Linked DNA regions of Callithrix jacchus. The protein of the gene in region 2 purifies or fractionates together with the protein of the main gene of each other region. This does not show direct contact. Links are inferred from orthologs where the notes say so. Each region holds a gene or a part of one and is shown on either strand. Other genes may lie near its edges. The genes, in order: HNRNPH1 and HNRNPDL.

Region 1 (12,502 bases), on a different chromosome or scaffold from region 2:
CACAGAGCCCCTCACCACTCCATAGAAACAAATGATACCCTTCTGTGTTGGGAAGCAGGGAGGGTGTGCAGATGGCTTTTCCCTGGGTGTCCCATGACTGCCTTTTTCCTGTTCTCTAGCACCACTGCCGGAACTGCGGCCACATTTTCTGCAACACCTGCTCCAGCAACGAGCTGGCCCTGCCCTCCTACCCCAAGCCAGTGCGGGTGTGTGACAGTTGCCACACCCTGCTCCTGCAGCGCTGCTCCTCCACAGGCTCCTGAGCATCCATCCTTGGGAGCACAGCCTCAGATAGTGCCAAACTCTGGGTCTTCAGAGGCTTGGGAATTGTATGCATTCCCAAGAATCAAAGAATCAAATTCTTGCCTGGCTACTCCAGAAGATATGCCGGAACCAGCAGCTCTCACCTTTCTGTGATTTATAGAGTTAATTCCTCTGGATGGAAACTTCCATCTTACTTGGTCATATCATGGCTCTGGTTCAGATATAACTTCATGACTTTACTACTACCATTTTTCTTCACTTTTCAAAGAATTTAACCTATTTTACAGTTCAGTTCTGCTCATGAGTAATCCCATTTTCCTCTCCCACCTCCCTTCTAAAAACCTAATTTGTGCATAGCGTTTGACACACATGGGGTCTTGGAAGTGTGCCTTCTCTGCTTCAGTCAAGAGATCTGCCATTTCATGCCCTTGTGAATACCTATCGTTGGCCCTGCAATAAAATCATTTATTTTTCACTCTGGTGCATGCAGAAGCTTGTTTCAACTTCCATCACACCCTCACCTGCTGCCTCAGAGCAGCCCCTCACGCAGTCAGAGACCCAAGCTGAGTGTGAGCGGGAGGCTGCTGGTGCTGTTCCAGAGCCTGCAGGGCTGGGCCTGGTGAGCCAAAGGTAATTTGCAGTCAGCCTGCCATCAACTGGCAGAAGAAGTGACCCCTAAGTCTGTTGACAAAGTCCAAGAGTAGTTCACCTATGTAATTGGGAGTGTGATTGGTGACAGAGACACCTGTGGAAAAGCATTTGCCAGGCCACTCTTTTTGAGACAGTCTCGCTCCGTCACCCAGGCTGGAGTGCAATGGAGTGATTTCAGCCTCAGCCTTCTAGGTTCAAGTGATTCTCCCGCCTCAGCCTCCAAGTAGCTAGCTGGGATTACAGGTGCCCACCACCATGCCCAGCTACTTTTTTGTACTTTTAGTAGAGATGGGGTTTCACTGTGTTGGCCAAGCTGGTCTGGAACTCCTGACCTTGTGATCCACCCACCTTAGCCTCCCAAAGTGCTGATTACAGGTGTGAGCCATTAACACAGTGCTAGAACTGGCTTCTAGTCCCTCCCTCAGAGCCCCAGACAGGAGCCAATGGCCTAGGGCTCTTAGGGTACAGATAACTGCATTGTCAAGTACAAACAACCAAGTCTTCCAGGCCTCATCCTTATCCACCTTCTATACATATATCTTGCTGACCACCCTACCTTCACTTCCCACAGGCTCCCTACCCTCACCAAATCCAGACCTCAGGTTCCCAGCCTTTCTTTTCCTTTAAAGAGATGGGGTCTCACTATGTTGCCCAGGCTTGAGTGCAGTGGCTTTTCACAGGCACAATCCCACTACTGATCAGCACGGGAGTTTTGACCTGTTCCATTTCCGACCTGGGCCTGTTCACACCTCCTTAGCCAACCTGGTGGCTGTATACAAGTACAAATGGCTGCTGTCCAGATGGCGAGAAGCAATCTCCACCACCCAGGTTTAGGAAAGAGGGAATTCTGACTCTAAACAAGAAGCATGTTTGGGAAAGGGGAATCCCGACTCCAAACAAGTCTCAATTAATGCCTTTTCTCTGCAGTACCTTTACCAGACCAGGGATTGGTGGTTCCAAAGTTTAGTAAAGATGGTAACCTTTACCCAGCCTGAGAAATGAGGGATAGATATTCTGTGCTTCCCATGTCAACTGAAATAGGGGTGAGTGGTCAGGGTTTTGTTGTTTAAAATGCAGATTCTAGCCAGCCACAGTGGCTCACGCCTGTGATCTCAACACTTTGGGAGGCCAAGGCAGGTGGATCACCTGAAGTCAGGAGTTTGCAACAAGCCTGGGCAATGATGAAACCGTCTCTACTAAAAATACAAAAAAAATTAGCTGGGCCTGGCAGCAGGCACTTGTAATCCCAGCTACTCAGGAGGCTGAGGCAGGACAATTACTTGAACCCAGGAGGCAGAAGCTGCAGTGAGCCAAGATTGCACCATGCACTCCAGCCTGGGCAACAAGCAAAACTTTATCTCAAAAAAAAAAATAAAATGCAGATTCCAGCTGACAGGGTCAGGAGGTTGAGTCACTGCAGACAAGCTATGGAGCACAAGATTCCAAAGAACCATAATGCTTCTAGACTCCTTTCTGAGATGAAGTTTCACTCTTGGTGCCCACCCAGGCTGGAGTGCAATGGCACAATCTCAGGTCACTCCAAACTCCGCCTCCTGGGTTCAAGCGATTCTTCTGCCTCAGCCTCTGGAGTAGCTGGGATTACAGGCACGTGCTACCACACCCAGCTTGTTTTGTATTTTTAGTAGAGATTGGGTTTCTCCATGTTTGTCAGGCTGGTCTCAAACTCCCGACCTCAGACTCCGAAAATGCTGGAATTGGTATTACAGGCATTGGACAGTTTCCCTCATCACCTAGACTAGAGTGCAATGGCAAGATCTCAGCTCACTGCAACCTCCACCTCCCAGGTTCAAGCAATTCTCCTGCCTCAGTGTCCCAGTAGCTGAGATTACAAGTGTGCGCCAACACGCCAGGCTGATTTTTGTACTTTTAGTAGAGATGGGTTTTCACTGTGTTGGACAGACTGGTCTTGAGCTCCTGACCTCAGGTGATCCACCCACCTCAGCCTCCCAAAGTGTTGAGATTACAGGTGTCAGCCACTGCACCTGGCCTAGACTCGTTTCTTAAAAGCCATAGGGCTCTGGATTTAGCTTACTACTACTCCAAGTTCCTTCTTATTAGTCCCTTCTCTAACAGGGCAAGTTTTATCCCTAAATGTACCAGTTAACTAAAGGACCCAGAGAAGGAACCTTCAAGCTTTCTCAACACTGGGCCTCAATACCAAACTACATTAACCCAACAAGATTTCAGGCGCAGCACCAGGCTTATAACACAGCTCAACTCTCAACACTGCCTGCCCACTGAGAACTGCTGCTCTCTCTAGACATGCCTAAGACAAAACAAAGAATACATTCCAGACCTTTCCCTCCGCTGGTTTCCAGTCCTGGTAAGGCACGCAGCCAAGGTAGGATCTGCAAGCCCCTCCTGCTGCCCATGTCTCCTGTATGCACTGCTTCTGTGGGCAGATGGTTAGAAACAACCAACACTAAGCCCCACTCTGTCCACCCTACCTAGCCCTACCCCAAAAACTCAAGAACAGCTTCTGTGTAAACCACAGGAAGAGAAAGCTTATCCACACTTTGCTTTAAAGGGCACAAGCCTATGTTATGTGACAGCCTAGCTTGGACTCTACATTCTGAATCCATTATCAGGGACTTTGAATCTAAAGGGATGAAATAGTGGCAGTTCCTAAACTGCAGTGCCCCTAAGCATCTACTGAAGGAACTCTGCAATCACACTTTCCAAGTTGCTTTAAAGCAACTTGAATACTTGCTAGCATGTTGGCGCTCCAAACTACCATAAAGGGGATACATTTGAAGAGTTCATTTAAACCAGTCATGTTTGCTCTCAATCACTACCTATCATTCTACCTGAAGAGGTTTACATGGAATTTTGACCCCAATTGGAACTGATTTTTAGAAATTAGCCCAAAACATAAAGTTCAAAACCTCAATTTGAAAACCATCTGTGAAGGCTGGACATGGTGGCTCATGCCTGTAATCCCAGCATTTTGGGAGGCCCCCCCAAGGTCAGGAGTTGGGAGACCAGCCCGGTCAACATGGCGAAACCCCGTGCCTCAATTAATACAAAAATGAGGTGGTGGGCACACGCCTGTAACCCCAGCTAGAGAGGCTGAAACAGTAGAACTGCTTGAGCCCAGGAGGTGGTGGTTGCAGTGAGCTGAGACTATGCCACTGCAATGCAGCCTCAGCTGACATTGACACTCCACCACAAATAAATCTTCCGTGAGCTAGCTCCTTCTAGAAGGCACCCGCATATTCATCACACCTCCCTTGCCTCTGGCAACTTCCCAGCCATGCACAAAGTCCTCCTAGACATGCAGGCCATGCAGTGAGGGCACTGGTGCCTCCCGCTTTGCTTCGTGCAAGTGCTTAAAACGTTATAGGCAGTTCAGATCAGGTCCTGTGCAGCCAAATGACATACAGCCCCTCCACAAGGGCCCCAAAGCTGAGTTTACCTTCAGTTGCACTGGAGGGAAGAACAGCCTCAGCTACCAAGCCTCTCTGCCACAGCCAGAGATGTGGCCCTTGGCCCCAGGTGGGCACAGAGGACCAAGACTCACTCCACATGACACTGAAGCAGACAGTGCAGTTTTTAAAAGGAGGATTTATTTGACAAGTTTCACTTAGCGCAATATACCTAAAAGGAAATCACAATACAATGAAAGATTTAAATCAAGGCCTCAGAATTTCATACAAACACCAAGACCAAAATCCTGAAGGACTGGTATTGCGTCTCAAATTTTTCCCATTAACTTAAAAAAAGCTTAAACTTACGTGCCTTACAGGTTATTAAATGAAACTAGAATTAACAAACATGCCAAAATGTTTCACTTTTAATTGTAGACACAGCTCCTATATTGAGTTTAAAAAAAAAAAAGCATGTCTTTCAACATGCATCTGAACAGTGTTCAATGCAAAGGGTAACACTTAATATAATTCAACTGCTTTTACCTAAATACGCTTACTGCTTAAGTATATCCTACAATATAACTAACTTGAGAAAAGTTGGAACTTGTTTAACAGTTATAGTTTACTCAGCTTCACTCATATCCTAGATAAGTATTGTATTCAAAAATACTGAGCCCCAAGTCTTCATAAGAATCCTGATTTCCACTTAAAGAGAAAGCATAAATCACAAGCTTGTATTACAGAAACTGTTAAACTGAAGTTTTGTTTTTTCTTTAAAAAAAAAAGTTGACCAAGAGTCAGTGATCAGGATCAATCAATTACATTCCCCATCCACCACTCATACTGGACATGCTAGACATCCCTCCCATTCCATTCACGCCCAAAGATGCACGGCTTCCACTACTGTAGTAGCTGCTGTTCATTGCTCCTTGGCTACCTGCAAAGAGACCAATTTGACAAGTTAGAAGTAATGTCAGACTATCAGTCAAATAAAATATAGTATTACAAAAAAAAGTTTAAAAATATACGAGTATAAATGGCTGCTGTCCAAGTGGCGAGAAGCATGTTTGGGAAAGGGGAATCCCACTCCAAACAAGTCTCAATTAACCCCTTTTCTCTGCAGTACCAACTTGCCAGACTCTTGTGCTACCATGTTAACGAAATTCAGGATCAACGTGAAAAATTAAGTTTAAAGGAAAACTAGTGTTTTTCAAAAATTGCAAAATTACTTCATATTTTTAAAGCTAAACAAGGCATTTAAAAAAAAATTTACCATAAACATTCACAATGTGTCCCTCAAATGACATGAGAATAGGGAGCACAGGGGAAATCTCTCGCTTTTCCTATTCATGGTGGGCAAAAGTGAGACAACTAAGTTGGACTAAAGGCAACTCACTGTGCCCAAATGGCAGCCTCGGTTAAGTCAGAGCCATTGACTGCTATAAAAAGTGTTATTACAACATATCAGTATTTGCTATTGGGAATTTAAATTATATTTTTTGAGAAAATATTTACCTATGCAATGTTTGATTGAAAATCACTGGAGTTTTCCTGTAAAACTTGGTCTGCAAAAGGATTTTGTAGGGTAAGACTATAATACCAAAATCACCATTTAGACCAATTGAAAAAAATAAAACCAATCCTAGGTTAACAACTGACTAATAAATACGATCCTGAACCCAACCACCATTCTATTTAAAATTCTCCCTCCATCTAAAATTGATTTAAAGCTAACCAAAAGACAAAAAAGTGAACAACTTTAATGTTTTAATAAATGGAGGCAGATATTTTCTGGCTCGACAGTATTCCAAAGCTGCAATAACTAGTTTTTAATTCACAAAACACGTCCCCCTCCCAATGATTGTTTCTGGAAATTAAACTAAAAAAAGTTTACATATGAAGCATACATTAAACAACCCAATTTCACCAAAATGGAGCCTGCATGTATTCCCAACTAAAAAAAACCTGCCTAAAACTTATTCTAAGTATATTTAAAAAAATGCTTACCGTATCCACTCATGCTGCTCTGGCCACCATAGCCGCCTCCATAACCACCACTCAGCTGCTGGCTGGCTGGGCCACCATAACTGGACTGGTTTGCTGTTAAGTTAAGAAAACATTAGATCCTTGCTCCTTATGTAATGTGGTACCTGGTGGTACCGGGCTTGTAATTCTCTATCTATGATTTTCCAGTCTTGATCTTCTATTACTATAACCCTCTGCCTCCTTCTGCCTATTGTCTATAACCAGGCTGCCCTTCTATCCATCATTTGAGCTAATCAAGTATTTATAAACCAAAGTGCTAACGGTATACACATCGGCAGGACTAAAATTCACGATTCCATTAGTTAGAGGCATTTTGTGAAGATCTTATGAAATTGCTTGACTGGATTTAGTGGGGTTTCCCCTTAGTTTGATATATCAAGGTATGTTCAATATAAAGGTTTATCAGTTAACACCTAATTTATCTTAATTAGACTTTATACTCAGAAAATTTCAGTAATTTCACTCCATAGGTCCCTCCCCCAAGAGTACTTATATCTAATTTGAATTATCTATCCTAAGCAACTTCATAGTACACAAGGTTTAAGCCAGATACAAAATTCATTCAAATATCAAGAAACTGCTTTCTTTGCCTAAGTTTGTTATACTAAACTCATTAAATAGATTAACTTAACTTATAATTGACTTATACAGATATAAACGTTTTGGTTTTTAAAAAAACTAACGATATTTACACAAGCCCATGCCTCCCATCATTTGGCTACCATAAGCACCACCGCTTGCTCCTGCTGTAGAATTCAAGAAGAGTTCTACATATCTGTGTTCTGAAATGAGAGAAAAGGCATACAAGGTTAGCTTAAAAAAAGGACACTAAAGTGATATTTACACAAACCCATGCCTCCTAGCATTTGGCTACCGTAAGCACCACCGCTTGCTCCTGCTGTAGAATTCAAGAAGAGTTCTACATATCTGTGTTCTGAAATGAGAAAAAAAAAGTTTGAAAATGTTTGTTGGTGAAAGAAAACAGGATAAGCACTTTTTAAACACGTAGATCTATGAACTTCAAATACTTGGGCAAAGACTTGTTACTTCTCTTAGGTGATCTTTATAACTTCAAAATCTAGCCTTTACATATTCATCTATATTGTCAATAAAGGATATATACTTCAAGATGTAAGATGTGTATCACAAATCTGTTAAACTAATTTTTAAAAACCAAACCTTTAACACACCCCACCCTGTTCCCCAAGAATCAATCTATTACTGGAAAGGAAACTTCTCATATATTATTTTTCTATTCCTCTATTGTAAATGTTAGTCACACAATCACCTAAGAATGAGCCCATAAGTGCTCAATCACACTTACGCATATTTGCTTTGTCTTTTGACATAGCTGCCACAGCATCTTCATGAGTTGCAAACTCGACATCTGCTTCACCAGTTACTCTGCCATCAGGACCAATTTCAATGTGTACTCTCACAGGATTGAGTGGTGAAAAAAACTACAACACAAGGCAGTTCAAAAAACTGAATCAACTTCCTAACGTTACAAAATGAAACTAAAATCTCTAACATGGTGTTCCCTTTATAGTACAATAAAGTTGAGACTTTTACTGTCATACTGAAATACTGACTTGTGAGTTCCGTCTTACACTTACATTGTAAATGTCATTCTCAGTAGCTCTGTAAGGTAATCCACGCATGTGTACACAGTGTCCTGTTGTGCTCTGGAAAGTAGAGCCACCATCCCCGTATCTGTGATCAGACATTCCTGAAAAACAGTAATTGAGGTCTAGATGGACAAGAGTGTAAGCATCCTTCAACTGAGAAATTCAATTCTTACCTTACCTCTTCCAAATCTATCTGACCCAAATCCATAGCCATCATTATAGCCATTGTAATCATCATAGCCTCCATAGCCTGAAAGACAAAAAAAAATGTACCATCAATCAAACACAACACCTACACAAAGGAACTGACTTGCCAAACCTTAAGAATCCTCACGCACCTCCACCATAAGCACCACGCCTCATCCTTTCAAAGCCTGCTCCTCTGCCAATGCTGTTATATCCTCTGCCAGCCCCAGGTCTGTCATAGGGACCTGGCCGCTGCATGGCCATAAGCTTTCGTGGTGGGTCATAGTGAGTTCTAACTTCAGCTCTACTGCTCTTAAAGATTTCAATATACCTAAAGCATTGTTCATAAGGAAGGGGTAGGGAGGGGAGAGAGAACATTAGTTCATTTTATACAGGTATTTAGTTATACAAGAAAACAATCTAGTCACAGCCATGAAACTGACTAATATTTAGAGCCAGATTTCTTATATTTGCATAGGCAATGACCAGAAATCCACTCAATAAATAGTAAGACTTAATGTATACTTTATAGGAAAAAAAAAACTCACTCCTCTGAGGCAGAGCCCAACCTTAGGGGTAAGAGAGGAGTACTGTATATAAATGTTTTAGGAGGGAAATAATTCCACTCAACTTTCAACATTTCAAGTCTTAAATCCATTGGCAGCATGTATAGCAAGTGGGCTAAAAAGCCAGTCTCCACCAACAGTCTAGCCCACACTACACATTTCCTTTCGCCAATAAATATCCCAGCCTATGCTTTTAGTAAGAATCAGCATAGGTAAGCGCATGCTTCAATGAAAAATAGTCACAAGCAAAGAGAATAAAACCTTTTGTGACAATTTCTTGAAAGCTATGCTTATTAATACTATGCAGAATATTTATATACAGCAAGAAAAAGTTTGTTGCATTTCAACTTTAAAAACAAGATCAGAAAGTATCACAATTTCTTATGGTAATATTAATTTACTAGGTGGTTGTTATTACAGCTAAAGCGAGGTTTGCATTAATTTTTTAAAGCCATAGTCTCTCAACTCTATTGGGGTTAATAAGACTCACAAAATTGTAAAGTAGACCAATTAACTAGGGACAAATTTTAAACCTAAAATTTAGTTTTCATATGACATGGGACTCTGACACAGGAAGTTTAGAAATCATGGCAAAACATCAATTAACTAGGACTACAAAACATTAATTTCTTCTTTTAAGCAGAGAGAATATGGATTTAATTATTTACCATAAGAAAAGTGACATATCCAACCAACCATCCATCCCCACCTGTGCCCTATTCTTTCCTTGTGTTTCTTTAGAGCCTTTTCAGCTATTTCCTGTGAAGCAAACTGCACGAAGGCCTCCCCCGTACTCCTCCCCTGGAAGTCCACCGGCAATGTTATCCCATTTGGCACGATTTCCAACCCTTCAACCCAAGGACAAATAACCCCAGTAGGGGGGCAATATTAACATCACAAGCCCAGAAATGATTCTTCTTATAGCTTTAAATAAACCAGAATTTTTAACTTTAGGTGAATGGTATGCTTTCAACAAGTACTCTTTAAATATGCATTTCAATAATATGAAGTTCCATTATTACAAAATATAACTATTCTTAACACACCCATGGTACAGTATATATTTTTTTAAAACCAACTTGCTGAACACAGGATGCATTAAGAATTCAACTTAAGAACACGTATCAATACAACTAACTTAATGTTGAGAATTATACAAAAATTCAATTAAGTTTTAAGCATTAAACAGTTTTACTAAATTCAAAACACCTTTTACCTCATTTTATATTTCAATGCTTTAAGTTATTGGAACTTCAGCTTTTAAAAAAGGTACACATTTAAACATTTCATATAAAAACTGAAAACATTAAATCATTATTGACAAACATAACAATCTAAATTTTCAACAAAACTGATCTACACCAGACAATCATGCTTGCTTATGCTCTAACAGTAGTATGATTCACTTCTGGAAATTCCGTCTATGAAAAATCCTTTCCGTGGATACATTCTCAAGCTTACAAAAAGGACTTAAAGCACTTTCCTAGAAGATATGAAATTATGTTCATATTTAACGTTGACAGATAGCATTCAATTCTCACCAATGTAGATTAAAAACAAAATAGACGATTTTAAAAATTCTGACATTAGGACTTTATACATATATAAATTTCTAATATACAATAAACCATGAAAGGACTTCTTGCTTCCAGTTTATCACATCATAAATATTAATACTTAAAACATAAGATATCTAACATTCTGTTAAACATGCAATCTTATCAGCTCTTCAGCATAAAAACATTCAAATACTTTAGGCCCACAAACAATTTCAACACTTGTTACTTCAGATACTGAAACTACAAGCATTCAACCTACTCTCATTACATCTGATTTTCAATAAGTTTGTAACACACTGGTTAAACCAAGTCTTTCATAATAGACTTTTGCATTAAAGAGAATTAAGACCATTAGAAGAGATGTTTCTGGTCCCATGACCCAAGCGTCTCTTGCAACACAGACACCTGCCATAACTTACAACAACCTAATTCATCATACTAATCTGATGTTAAGGGATCTTACCTTTAACTTGAGGTACTTAGCTGGACAGCAATGTGAGGAAAGTAGTTAAGCTGTTGAGGGCAATCCTCAATGAAAGATCTACTCTGAACTATAATACTAAATATAGGCAAAGTTAACATTTTGGAAGTATTTCATTTCCACCTTTAAGATGGGCTTAAATTATTTGAAGGTCTCTAGGAAGAAAATATTGGCATAAATTTACAACCTAGTTAAAGACCTAAGCTACTCAACTTTAAGGTTTATTAAATCACCTTGCCAGAAGCTAGCCAAAACTCACTGCTCAGCAACAAACAGGACTACATACCTGAGAAGAACTGAACAATTTCTTCCTTGCTACATCCAAAGGGAAGTCCTCTAAGACGTACAAAGCCATCATTGGCCGTGTCAGGACTATTTGGACCAGTATGCTTCAACACCCAATCCATTTCAACGTTGTTTGACTTGAATACTGAAAGAGGTGCTTAGAATTAGTCAATTTTGGAAAATTAGATATCGAAGTTCAGACTTCCTGGGTCTTTAGATAAGCTAGGAAGAGCTGCCACAAACTCCCTTAGATAACCATTTCCATGCGGTCAAATACCTAAAATTCAGAAGGGGTAAGACCTCTATATGCAACGCTTTATTTACTGTTACTAGGGCAACGTAAATCAAACCTTCAACATATCTGTGTCCCATAGTTTCTCTGTCTTTTTTCAGGGCCAATTTGACTTCATCTTCTGATTCAAGTTCAACAAAAGCCTCGCCACTCGGTCTGCCTTCTCTGGTGTAGATGAAACGAATACCTTGAGCCCCATTTTGAATTTTGCAGTCTGGAAAGAAAACAACCGTTAATACAGAATTTAAAACCTAAAACCACCTCTGGGTGACACAGATGAAATACCTATTCCATGTCCCCCACGCCAAAAATTACATTAACTTGTGAAGACTATAATGACCACGGTATCACCAACTCCTAGAATGCCAATTAAAAAAGAAATCTCATTCCCAAGGGGATCTATTTCCAACCCATCAACATCCAATATTCAAAGCAGTTACAGAATGAATTTCTCTTTTGAGTCCTTGTTACTCATGTCTCCATCACAAATCTTTTATCAATTTCTCAGAATACTATCAAGTCTGTACTTTGTGACTTTATGGCAAACATACTTCGTTGTGAGTTGTTTTGGTCTGGTGCATTTGTCAGTTTTACTTTACCAGCAGCGACATTACGGTTTCTCATTCAAATCCAAATTGCAGGCCCAATACTAACCTGAAAGGGAATCAGTGTTACCAAGCTAAAATGCTCCAAGCTGCACAGCTGCAGCCAAACCCAGTGTTGCCCCCTGCAAGGTGGCTTCCAGTGTACTTGGTTCTTGTTTTACAGGTCGTTTTCCATTACCAACGCTAAATTCAGATAGTAAGTCAACACTACAAACGTCTTACCAAAAGCTGTCAATTTCATCCAAATAGAATTTCATCAGTCTAAACTAATTTCTTTTCCCCAGTCTAATGCTGCGAACAAGAACATTCTGATAGAAAATACTCAGGAAAACTGTGTACTGGAAAAAAATTTACACAGGCAAGAAAACTTCCCTGGGCTTCAGCGTCTTCAACTGTATAGAGAGCCATATCAAGAACTAGACTAGCAAACACATCTCAATTACCAAATCTTGATTAGGAAAACCGAAATTAAGACGTGACACTTTAACTTTCCGAAGCAGAATGCTCATTTTCAAGGAAACACCGAAACTGTAAACAAGAGGTTACACTT
Region 2 (12,340 bases):
CCTTTAGAGGAACAAGAATGGATCAACTGTAATACAATCTTACTTTGCTACAATTAATCTCAACACTGAGAAACCAAGCATATTAATGAATTTGAGACCAGTCTGACGATGTGGCGAAACCCTATCTCTACTAAAATACAAAATACAAAATTAATTAATCACTCAATTAGCTGACTTCCCCAATTTAACATTAGGGGATTAAAACTGGGCAAGGTGACTCATGCTGGTAATCCCAGCATGGTCCTTTGGGTGGTGTAAGCAGGAAGATCACTGGTGCCCGAGGGGTTCAAGACCAGCCTAGGCAACATAGTGAGACCCTGTCTCTAAGACAAACAAATAAATAAATAAATAACCTTTAGCTTGGGCAATATAGCAAGACCTCATCTCTACTAAAAATAAAAAAAAAATTAGCTAGGTGTGGAGGCGTGTGCCTGTGGCCCCCATGGGAGGCTGAGGTGGGAGGGTTGGTTGAGCCCAGGAGGTTGAGGCTGTAGTAAGCCATGATGGCACCACTGCACTCCAGCCTGGGTGACAAAGTGAGACCCTGTCATCAATAAAACAATCTTCTATGAGTGTTCACCAGCCAAGACAAATACCCAGGTGGTAGGTGGAGAACATATGAAGAAACTCCCATTGTGAAACCTCATCAATTACAACAAATTCAATCAATTTTAGTCAGTTTGTTACCATAAAAGCCAACAACTACAAGAGCCTTTTAAAACAGATAGTTTTCTAAGTTTCTAATTTTCCTGAAACTACACTGAAAGTATTTACAGACATGCAATTTTTGGGTCTGAAGAGAATTCACTTTTGGTCAGATTCCCAAAAGGAGATTACCATTGGAACAGTATGAGAAAAACTTGCCTGTAAAGTTTCTCGAATTTTCTAGCTTGTGCTGGTCTTTGAGAAATCAAAATCAGCCTTTTTGGTTATTTGGATTTTAAGTGACAAGATTATGTTGAATATGCTTTTTTCTTTTTTTTTTTTTCTGAGACAGAGTCTCACTCTGTGGCCTCGGCTGGAGAGATCAGTGGCACTGTCTCAGCTCACTGCAACCTCTGCCTCCCAGGTTCAAGTGATTCTCCTGCCTCAGCCTCCCAAATAGCTGGGATTATGGTCGCCTGCCACCATACCTGACTAATTTTTGTATTTTTAGTAGAGACAGGGTTTCACCATGTTGCCCAGGCTGGTCTCAAACTCTTGACCTTAGGTTGCCTACCCACCTCAGCCTCCCCAAAGTTCTGGGATTGCAGGCATGAGCCACCGTGTCTGGCCAAATATACTTTTTCAAACTACCCTTTAGCTTCACTACCCTCCAAGATTATGATACAGCTCCCCAAATGGGTACATTTCTTTGAGTACTGATAGAAGGGTAACACCAGAGATTAAACTGACACTTAGGAATAGCACAATTCTGGCAGAGAGGAGCGGCTCATGCCTGTAATCCCAGGACTTTGGGAGGCTGAGGCTGGTGGAAAACCCAAGGTCAGGAGTTTGAGACCAGTCTGACGATGTGGCGAAACCCTATCTCTACTAAAAATACAAAAATTAGCCAGGCATGGTGACAGACTCCTGTAATCCCAGCTACTCAGGAGGCTGAGACAGAACTGCTTGAACCCAGGAGGTGAAGGTTTTGGTGAGCTGAGATTGCACAGCTGCACTCCAGCCTGGGCAACAAGAGCAAAACTCCATCTCAGGGGGAAAAAAAAAGAATAGCACAATTCCAAGCTCATGCTTGTTGAGGGGCGGGGGAAAAAAGAGGAGCAGCAGGAGTTAAGCTCTTCAGAATGTTCAGCATTACTCTGTAATACCCAGAACATCACTATATCCTTTCCTACTGTTTTATAAAAAGAAGTCAAAGGTTGTATTTTTATTTTTTCCTATTAACTAAATCTTGCTGAAATTCCACATCGAACCTATTTCAAGGCAAATGTTAAGACCCCAACCAATCCCAAAAGAACAGCCTATATTTTTATAAGCAATATTTTCTAGTGACCATTTAAAAAGATATAGAATTTGCATTGTTTTTGCTTAAAAGTTGAAAACAAAGATTAGATGCCAACTCCAATTACGCTTAAAGTTTAAGGAAAGTGGTGTTTCTTCTAGAATGACACTTTCTAACTACTCAACACTGAATCAATTCAAATGGTATACACAGACGTCTATAACACAGGATCTCACTCTGTCTCTGCAATGGAGCGATCATAGCTCAACTGCAGCTGAAGCCATTTTTTTTTTTTTTTTTTTTTTGAGTTCTCACTTTTTTGCCCAGGCTGGAGTACAGAGCTCACTGCAACCTCCGTCTCCTGGACTCCAGTGATCCTCCCACCTCAATGTACCACCATGACCAGCTAATTTTTGTATTTTTAGCAGAGTTGGGGTTTTGTCATATTGGCCAGGTTGGTCTTCAACTCCTGGACTCAAGCCATCCACCTGCCTCGGCCTCCCAAAGTGCTAGGATTACACGCATGAGCCACTGTGCTCGGCCAGCTTAACTTTTTAATTGGTGAAGTTCAGTGTCCTGTAATTTTTTGAGTCTCACTTTGTTTCCCAAGGTGGAGTGCAGTGGCATGAACATGACTCATTGCACCCTTCACCTCCCTGGCACTAGCAATTATCCTGATTCAACCCAAGTAGCTGGGACTACAGGCATGCACCACAACATTGCGCTAATTTTTGTATTTTTTGTAGACAGGGTTTTGCCATGTTGTCCAGGCTGAGCTCAAGTGATCCACCTGCCTTGGCCTCCGAAAGTGCTGGGATTACAGGCATGAGCTATAGCACGCAGCATAGCATCCTGATTGACACTAAATCAAATCTTGGTAATGGAAGGTGGCTGAATTGTTCAGATGTCCTTGTATTAAATTTTGTGAAGATTAAAAATCTCTGCCATTATGAAAATAGATACACTGAAGAGTAATGGAATAAGCTCTGCTTATCCATGCTAGCATTCCCACAGATATCTCATTTTAATAGTCCTCATCTTATAAAAGTGGCTCAGATTACAGATTAATATGTCAACCAATGGAAACACTAAGGCCTTTTGTTAGGAAAACACACAGAATTTGGGTCTAAACAATACAAAAAGCAAATGTTGTATAAAATCATATTCAAACTGAATTGTTATAGGTACTTTAGAATTCATTTCTATCCACCCTCCCCAAGGATAGCATCACACAGAATTTGTTCTAAACAATGCAAAAGGCAAATACGATGTATAAAAACATACAAACTGAGTGGTATAGGTACAGAATTCATTTCTGTCCCCTCTCCCCAATAAACGTGTCCAACTACTTAATTCTACATTAATTCTTAGGAATGAGATCTTGATACTAGCTTCACAGTTCCATCCAATCAGAAGTGCCTAGGACACTTACAGTCTTCATAGTCTCTATTTCAAATTTTCATCAGTTGGTGAACTGATTGTCCCTAAAAACTGAATTAAACCTAGAGTTCAAAGTCCCTCCAAGAAAAACCAAGTGCATTCTCACCCCGCTTCCAATTCTTTATAAAAGCACCTCAATCACCTCTAGATGTTTTCTCACTCATACATATCAAGACTTAAAAAAAAAAGTTTGGATTTTGTTTAAAAAGCCTTTATTTTTTTGATCAGGGAAAAGGACAATCTCAATGTCAACTTGTCACCTAATCATAAATTTGAACTTACAGGATTCACTACCTGTAGACACTGCACCTACTAACACAACTTAAAAGTAAACTTCCTTCCATTCCCTAAAGTTGCATGTTCAATGAACAGAATCCCTTCCAACAGCTAACACTGGTACTTGGCCTAGGTGTGAAGACAAATAGCAAAACAGCAGCAAAAAAAGGCCAAGAACATTATAACTTGATAGCCCAGCAAATACAATCATCGTATCAAAGTTGTAGGCACCAAATTAAAAAGGGGGATTCACCAGCGTAAGAAACACCAGTTGAGATCACCCATTGTGTGGGATCAACTACTCTGCCTGTGAACATGTATGCCAATCCCAGTGAGGCAAAGGTCCCCAAATCCAAGAAACCACACTGAATGCAAAATTCAAAGCATTTATCCAGGTCCTCTGAAATCTGGATGTTTCTTCTCAATGCACCAGGAGGGTCCACTGTAATTACTCAGTGACATTTGGACTGACACACCTAAGATACTTTTTCCACTATTTCTATTTCTGAATATGGAAATGTTTAACTACTCATGCAGTTAAAAATTAGATTTACTATAATGGCTTTTCCTAAACTCACAAAGCATTAACAGTTAACTGTAATACAACTTCCTCAGAATGTCCAAACAGAAAATGTTTTGTTCAGTCTTGTGGTAGCTGTGGGAAGAGTACAATTCAATCTTACTTTGCCACTATTTCAAATCTGAATCTAATTTTTGCCCAGTCATACCTTTCTGCCAAAATCCTTGACTTGTAACTACTCACTACTTTCAATGGTCTTAAATCATAGCTCCTACCAGTTTTACAGTGCTCCTTCCTGTGTGCATGCAAATTTTTATCAAGAAATAGTCATGGTGTCATGATTACAAAGCTTTTTCTAAGTGACCACTGATGAAAGCCAAAGTAATTAGCAACTCAAAAATGGCTTTCCAGAGACAGGAACAAAGCAAAAGGAGCCACTAACAGTTTTATTACAATCGAGAAGAAACATGGTCTACTAGAAAGCTTCTCCTAATCACAACACTTAGGTCTTCCTCCCAGGACAGTCTTCAGATAACCAGAGGGGAAGGAACATTATTCAAAGGTGTGGTAGAAACCTCATTTACCAGGGAGAAGATGAAGGCTTAAGATCATAGAATATATCTAACAAATTGGGGAAGAGAATGATGTTGGCTATTTATAAAGGACCACAGTTTCTCCCTATGGACCAATACTCCCTACAAAACCAATTGTGCCTTAATTATTGCTTATTTTAAATTACATTTTTACAGAGCTATGTAGTACCAGACACAGAAAAGCAATCACATAAGGAAGCATTTATTTGAAGTTTAACATGAAATCATACAAATAAAATGTGTATAAACAAATCCACATTGAGTCATAACACAAATAGCAAAGGACAAAGTAAAAACAAAGAAAACTAATTGGCAGCTATATACAGTTGGACACAATTGTGTCTTGTACACTAGAAAGTCTTTACAAAATAATCATCTTAGATCAACAGAAGACCAATCTTCAATGTCGTCCTGCAAGATGGGTTACTTTAACAACTCCTCCTAAAAACAAAAACAAAATAACGATTAGATGTGTGCAACTCTGACAAGCTTTTAAAGGTCCACTTTCATGAACTGTTTTAAGTCCTCACTTTATTCTTTTCTTCAATAATTAAAGATCATATGCATATTTATTAGGAAAATACAGTCTGGGTAGTTAAGAAACTCACCCTGGAGTTCCCAAATGATATTAAATTCAAATATATTCAAGAAAGAATCTGGGAATACAATCTTCCCATATTCAAATGTTCAACTATGCTAGATTAAGGTCTACTAGAAGCATCTCTAGTAACCCAAGCAAAATGCTATTATAAACACCAATTTCTAATAAGCTTATTACAAGCACATAAATTGATTTGTGCATATGATCTTTAATTTATATCCCAGATTTAAAAGTTCTTGTTTTGGTTTGTAGATTTCACTATTAGCTATAAAAAGAAAAAGCAAGCATTAAATCTTAAAAGAATGAACACTTAAAATGAGGCTCCACAATTGAAATACAACACTAAACAGAAGACCAAAATGATTAAGCTGTAAAAAGGCATTTATGTACTTTAACTCCTGTAAAAAACCATTTAAGTTAAGTTTAGACACTTAATCTCCAAAAAGATTAAAAAAGAAGCCAAAGTCTGAAGTTTTCCACTTTAATCTTTACGCTGGTACATGAAGTTGGAAGAGACCATACCACAGGACAGCGTTTTCTGGTGTATGCCTTGCGCTCTGCCCGCAACGTGCGACCCCCAGAGATAGACGTGGTCAGGGTGACACACGGCCTGCAATGAAGTTCCCGCTGGCGGGTACAAACAAGGTATAATGTCAGAGTTAGAAGACAACATTCTTGTTTTCCTTAAGTTGTACCCATTTCAGTACTTTACCTGTTAATAGTTCTAAAATGTTTAATTATTCCTCTAGACCACCTGGTACACAAAAGCAAACAGAAAAACTCTTAAGTTTTTCTGCAGTACTAAAGAAAGTGAGATAAGACTTTAAAGTTAAAGATCTATAGACACTTTAGGCAAAACAGGCTTATAAAGCAATTAAAAAAAATCAACAATTTAGTAAAAACAGGCTACATTATATTTTGTTTTTACGTTTCATTTGTCTATTGATCTTTAAATTAAATTAGACATTTCTACTGTTTTCCTGTACTCTTATACACACCTGTTTTTTTCAATGGTCTCCTTTAGTATGGCTGGTAATTATTTTGGTGATTGCCACCCCCTCGAGATGCCTTGCCATAAGTGCTCTGTTGGCCTATTTTGAGAAGACAAATTTCATTAAGGTAGTTTTCTACAAAATCGTTTCTTTACAAACGCATTAAGAAACTATTAAATCTACAAATCTTTGCATGCTAAATAAAAATATTAAAATATATTTTAGTACCCATTATAACCTACTCATAAGCCATACATCCTAGTACATTTATAACCACCACAATGTTAGTACAATCACTCTATGATTGTAACATGATTCAAATGCTTAACTCCAAACACTTTAATTAGTGGAAAGCCTATACACACAATTTCAGAATGGAATTGTATGTTAACACTGAATTGTAATGCCATTGGTTGATAAAATTAAGTTAAATGTTCTTACCACTGTAGTCTGCATATCCCTGTCCATATCCATAGTTCCCATAGTTATACCCAGTATAATCATATCCGCCATAGCCACTATAGTTTTGATCACCACCATAGGCACTATTGTAATTTCCATATCCTTGATCATAATAGTTATTAAATCCTTGGTTCCAGTTTTGGCCCTGACCTGAAACAATGCACAATGATTGTTAGGAAACAACTTCTGACCCCCAATTCTAACATAAAATGATGCGTTCTTGTCCCTCACTCTGCAAATCTTAAAGGGCAGAATGGACACATTTATTGCTATCTGCTTGAAAAAGTATTTTTCCAGCTGTTATAAAAAAGGGGGCAGAAAGTCCAATTGTGCCAGTATCAAGCTTCCTAAATTTAATGGCAAATCATTAAATTTTTCATTAAAGCTGAAGAGAGGTACACTGTTCTGTTTAAAACAAGGACTCCTGCCCAAGGAAACCTATCATGCCATGGTGTATAACATGTAATGGTACACGTCTCCTATCAGTGATGACACTAATTCTCAAAGTGGCCATACTTTTAAGTTTTTTTGAAACCAGTGAGCTCACAAGAAAAAACCACCACACACAACCCCCACTAAGCTGAACATTTTCCCTCGCAAGTTTTACTTTCTTACAGGATTACTCATATTTAGCAGTATACAGCTTAAATAAACCATGGAGTCATATTTCAAGAATTAAGTCTCACCTCGGCCACGACCCCTTGTACCACCTCGTCCACCAGCTGCAGCACCTCTTCCACCTTTTTGTTGTTGCTGTTGCTGCCTATATACCTCTTTGGGTTGTGCAACTTTTATTTCACACTATAAACAAATTAAAAAACATAAAAATAGAATTTTTACTTAAGTTCTAAAAAGTCAAATCATTATTCTCAAACACACTGAGAAATTCTCTCTCTCACACACACACACACACAAAACCACCCCTTAAAATTTTCATTTAAAGTACTTAAATGGCTTTACCTTCCCAGAACCAATCTGATGATATCTGCTTTCTAACAATTTTTTTACTGGCTCTTCATCGGTATATGTGATAAAACAAAATCCTCTTCTCTCATTTGTTTTTGTATCCATGGGAAGTTCAATGTTTTCAATCTGAAATCGAGATGCACACTCAAGGTCATTCCATAATTGTAAAATGCTACCAGAGTGTCCGAATGCCACAGGTCCTTTTCAAGCTTCAACTTAAAGATTTTAATCTTATAAGATGACTTCTATACAGACAGCACTGCTTTATGATCAACATCAGCCTACAGTGGTTTGTTGTACATGTGAAGCACTGAGAGAAAAGTAAAACATCCTTTAGGATTATTTTATACAGCAAAGATGCCACTAGTTAACCAGTCCAAAAACTGACCACATTTAAGTACCCACGTTTTGGTTAAATTAATTAGATAGTTGGACTTCTATGAGAGCAGCCATCAAATCAAGGTACAGTCTGGAAGCGACGTGAGCAGTCATTTAATCCTACCCTCACATGAAACATGAATCTGCCCTATATGAAACAGACCAGGAATTAACATTTTATAAACACATTAAGCTTAACATGTGTAAACATAATCACACACCTCTCCAAAGGCTCCAAAATATTCTTTAATTTGTTCTTCAGAAGTATCCGGGCTCAATCCACCCACAAAAACCTTTTTGGGAGGTTCTTTCCCTTTTAAAGCTTTGGCCCTTTTGGGATCTATCAATTTGCCATCCAGTTTGTGTTCTTTCAGTTCCAAAACCTGTAAGACAGATTTATTTAATCTGACGGCAGCATATAACCCCCAGAAAAATTTGCAAAATACCACAAAAGCAGCACATTGCACAACAGTTCCTACCTTATCAACACTAGCAGCATCTTTGAAAAGCACAAATCCAAATCCTCTTGATCTCCCAGTGACTGGATCTGTTTTAATTGTGCAGTCTACAACTTCCCCAAATCGAGACAAATATTCAGTCAGATCTTTTTTGCTTGTATCCCAGCTCAAGCCTCCAATAAACATTTTACTAGAAATAAAAGTTTAAAAAAAAAAGTTTAGCAATAACTCAAGTGACTCCTTCAGTTCTGGAATTAATTAAATCGTGAAAACATGGACATTTATCTCGTGTTAGCAACTTAAATCTGTTTACACTTAACCTATGTCACACAAGTCAACAGACCACAAACATCCCAATATCCCAACCGAATTACTCAAACCAGCGGACAGATCGCTCTCTGCACCGTATAAAGCAAAGCTCAAAGGAGACCAATAGGATATGGTAAAGGTTCTGCCCAGATTCCTTTGAGTGGAAGGCCCAACTTCCAGGACGAATTCCTCACATCTTAGGTCCACCCTCGTCCTCAGCTGTCAAGCCAACGTTCCACCGAGAGAACTCATCAATCATAACACGTTCTGGGAATCTGGGTACCAGTCGCCTGCTTGTGCCCGAACTCACAGTCCTCTAAACTCTTCCCAGGAAAACCGCGCCGAGTGTTAAGAGAGACACAATGAAGAGGCGGCCGCAGCTGCAGCGTGCGGCGCAGAGAAGCCGGCCCCTCCCCCCGGGTCCCACGCGGCGCCTGCGCACTCGGGACACAGACGCCACCGCCCTCCTCCTTCAACCCCTCCGCCCTTCCCCCACTCTTCCCGGCCTCTCCAGTCACCTCCTTGATCTCTTACTTTCCTCTTCCCTCCAAGCTAGTGGGGCCCAGCGGGCACGCGGAGAATCGACTCCGAGAAAGAATGGGGGCGGCGCGAGGATCCCGAGAGACGAAGGGCGGGTGCGGCGCGCTGGGGTAGGGAGAGTGGGGGAAGAAGCGTGCGGTACCCGTCATCCTGCTGATTCTTGCTCGCATTGATCTTGGATCCCTCTGCGAATTCCTCTATGTTGCTGTACTCGTTCATGTCCTCCATAGCGGCGGAGCTGTCGGCAGGGGGGTGCTGGCGCGCAGTCCGGGTCGCGGCAGCAGCAGCGGCGGAGCGTTGTATGGAGCCGGATTTAAAATGGCGGCGGAAGAGATCCGGGCGCCGCCTGCGCCCTCCCTTTATAGCTGCCCCGCCCGCCAATCGGGAGGGCTGCTGGGCGGTGACGTGGCGCTGGGCCCGGCGCGCCCCCTGCCGGGCGGAGCTGGCAGCGAGCGAAGGGAGGAGCGGGGCAAGCTGTCGCGGCGCCCGCGGCCGCCAATGGGAGAGGTTGCGGGAGGCTAAAGTAGCGGGAGCGGAGGGGAACAATGGCGGCGGCACATGGGAAAGCCGAGGCGGGACCTCCATCGCGGCCCTCCCGGCGAGGAGCGAGGCCACGCGTGAGGGGACGTAGGCTTGGGATGAGAGAGGAATCAGAAGAGAAAAACGAAGGGGCGTAAAGTCCTGGGGTCAGCAGTCCCGAGCAGCGCCGACGCAGGGCCACAGTCCCTCTTGCCTTGGGAGCCTTTGTCTCTGGCGTCCGGTCCAGCCTACTCCTACCAAAGAGCCGTCAACCCCGCCTTTTTCTGCCCTTGGTTCGCTAGTGAGGAGCCGCTGCGGCGGCCGCTGCTACCGACTAGCACCGCGGCCGGGCTGCTCCGGAAAAAGGCGGATTGCGCCCGGCGCTGGGGGCTGAGGCGGCGAGCGCGTTCGCCCGCCGCGCGCACGCGTGTTTTGTTCCCGAGCTGGCTGGAACCAGCCGAACAGGAAGCGGGCGCGCGACGGCCCCTCCGGGCAGCGCTGCGCGGGCGCCTCTTCCGCTGTGGCCCCGGGCTAGCGGGCCAAGGGGGCGCGGCGGGCCTCCCCAGCAGATCGGCCAAAGCCCGGGCCCAGCGCGACCTCTTTGGCGGGCGGACGCCGGGAGGAGGGGCGGGGGCTGGCCAGATGACTGTATCTATGCAAAGTAGGATGCGGTGGGTGGGGAGGGGGCCGGGTGCAGTAGAAGGCAAGGGGCACTCACATCCCCGGCGCGCCACTCGCGTGGCTCCCGTCTGCACGTGCCCCGAGCCTCTCCAGCTCGTTCAACCAGTCTGCGGAAGGCGCGCTCGCGTAGCGAGCTCCCGCGTTCACTTCTTTGTTCCCGCCCACGCGAGGCCCATTTTGACGGATCGCGTTTGAGGTCCGACGGCGGCCAATCGGCGCTGGCGCTTTCAGCCTCCCAGCCCCGCCGAACCCAGCGAGGGCCGCCCCTTTTCCTGCCCACGTGGTCTCGGGCTCCTTCCCAGTACTGCTCACGAGTTCAGGGCTCCTGGGCGGCTTCCTTTTCCAGTTCCAGTTCCAGGTCCAGGTGTGCAGAGGTGTCCTCTCCCCACGCGTGGCAGGCTGCACTTGGTCGTTGGCTCCGAGATCGCACTGGGCCATTGGAAGCCCAGGACTGTACCGGGGGCCGCAGCCGCAGCTGGCGCCGCCGCCCTCCGCCCTCCCCAACAGTAGGCCGAGTCCGGTAGTAGCATCCGGAAGGGAAATGGTCGTGCTTTCGGTGCCCGCTGAAGTCACCGTGATTCTGTTAGATATCGAAGGTACCACAACCCCGATTGCTTTCGTGAAGGTGAGGGGCGGAAGTGAGCAGGGATGTTACTTTTACTTAAAAAGTCATTTTTTTTCTAAGTATTGCAGGCCTTGCGTTAGAGACAAGGGTTAGGAGAGGTGGCGTGGCTTTGCCTCTTCCGTGGAATCGGGAGGAAGGACAGAAAGCCTGCGGAGGCTTGAAGGAATGCTTTTCCTCGCGGCACTAGCTTCTCCCTCCCCCGCCCTTGCTCTTGGTTGGATCCAGATGGGTGGGAAGGGATGGAAGATGACGCTAAAAATCGCCGAGGAGCAGGTCAACCCGGGCGGGGTGTGACGATGCAGGCCTCCTGGCCCGGCAGGTGAGCACCCGGTCGCTTCTGCAGGTGAGAGCGGCCTTTCTGGTCCTTCGTTCCTGGCGTGGCAGCGGCAGCGATTTAATGGTCCTTGAAGCTTCCAGTCTTAAAATGGAAAGACGAAGTGTTAAGATGACTTTTCAGGTGGCCCTGGTGTCGGGCGATTGAGGTTCCTCTTCACCCCTTCCCGAACTGCACACTGTATTATTTTACTCTGTCAGGCTCTGTGGGCCACAGCACTGATTTTTTGAGGTATAGGACACGTCTAGATTCTGTTCACTTTCCTCAGAAAACCATAGAAGCTTGAAGCTCTTATCCAGAGCATTCCTTCTAGGATGTCACTGTGAACCAGCACTTGTCTGCATCTAAGCTCACAACTCTGCGTTATAGCGGATTACTTCTTTATTCTTTGCCTCTTAGAATAAATAAATAGGAAATGTTACTTTAATTTTTGAAAGAATTCCTTGGGCCTGGCCTTTTTATTTGGCTTCCTGAGGTTTAAGAATTCATTGCAGATACAAGTACTTCTTAGAGGTGCTTGCATATACAGTAATAGTCGAGATATACAAAGTATATTACAAAGTAGAAAACATCCATCTTCCAGGAAACCGAGCACCTTGGGTTTTAAATTCTATTTTGGTTTTCATTTTTTAAAAAATTACCTGTGAATGTTTTTTGTTTGTTTGTTTTTTGAAACAGTCTCACTCTGTTGCCCTGGCTGC

The links.
Region 1: the proteins of HNRNPDL (region 2) and HNRNPH1 fractionate together in Homo sapiens (co-fractionation; 3 studies listed by BioGRID and IntAct, with this or other methods). This does not show direct contact. The link is inferred for Callithrix jacchus from reciprocal best matches to the Homo sapiens genes HNRNPDL and HNRNPH1.

What each region holds. Positions count from the first base shown.
Region 1 is NC_133503.1:72,031,375-72,043,876, reverse strand, and holds the end of HNRNPH1 (heterogeneous nuclear ribonucleoprotein H), read right to left. Parts: intron 11,562-12,502; coding exon 11,406-11,561; intron 11,201-11,405; coding exon 11,057-11,200; intron 9,579-11,056; coding exon 9,440-9,578; intron 8,496-9,439; coding exon 8,317-8,495; intron 8,229-8,316; coding exon 8,157-8,228; intron 8,101-8,156; coding exon 7,967-8,100; intron 7,811-7,966; coding exon 7,675-7,810; intron 7,285-7,674; coding exon 7,225-7,284; coding exon of another isoform or gene 7,195-7,224; intron 7,133-7,194; coding exon 7,043-7,132; intron 6,405-7,042; coding exon 6,312-6,404; intron 5,870-6,311; coding exon of another isoform or gene 5,820-5,869; intron 5,242-5,819; coding exon 5,123-5,241; 3' UTR 4,483-5,122; downstream 1-4,482. Other genes in the region: RUFY1 (RUN and FYVE domain-containing protein 1), read left to right, coding at 120-263. UniProt on the Homo sapiens protein: This protein is a component of the heterogeneous nuclear ribonucleoprotein (hnRNP) complexes which provide the substrate for the processing events that pre-mRNAs undergo before becoming functional, translatable mRNAs in the cytoplasm.
Region 2 is NC_133504.1:115,399,931-115,412,270, reverse strand, and holds HNRNPDL (heterogeneous nuclear ribonucleoprotein D-like), read right to left. Parts: upstream 10,799-12,340; 5' UTR 10,066-10,798; coding exon 9,623-10,065; intron 8,822-9,622; coding exon 8,653-8,821; intron 8,557-8,652; coding exon 8,395-8,556; intron 7,922-8,394; coding exon 7,790-7,921; intron 7,631-7,789; coding exon 7,516-7,630; intron 6,980-7,515; coding exon 6,809-6,979; intron 6,467-6,808; coding exon 6,396-6,466; 3' UTR 6,374-6,395; exon of another isoform or gene 6,003-6,373; 3' UTR 4,961-6,002; downstream 1-4,960. Other genes in the region: ENOPH1 (enolase-phosphatase E1), read left to right, coding at 11,222-11,305. UniProt on the Homo sapiens protein: Acts as a transcriptional regulator. Promotes transcription repression. Promotes transcription activation in differentiated myotubes. Binds to double- and single-stranded DNA sequences. Binds to the transcription suppressor CATR sequence of the COX5B promoter.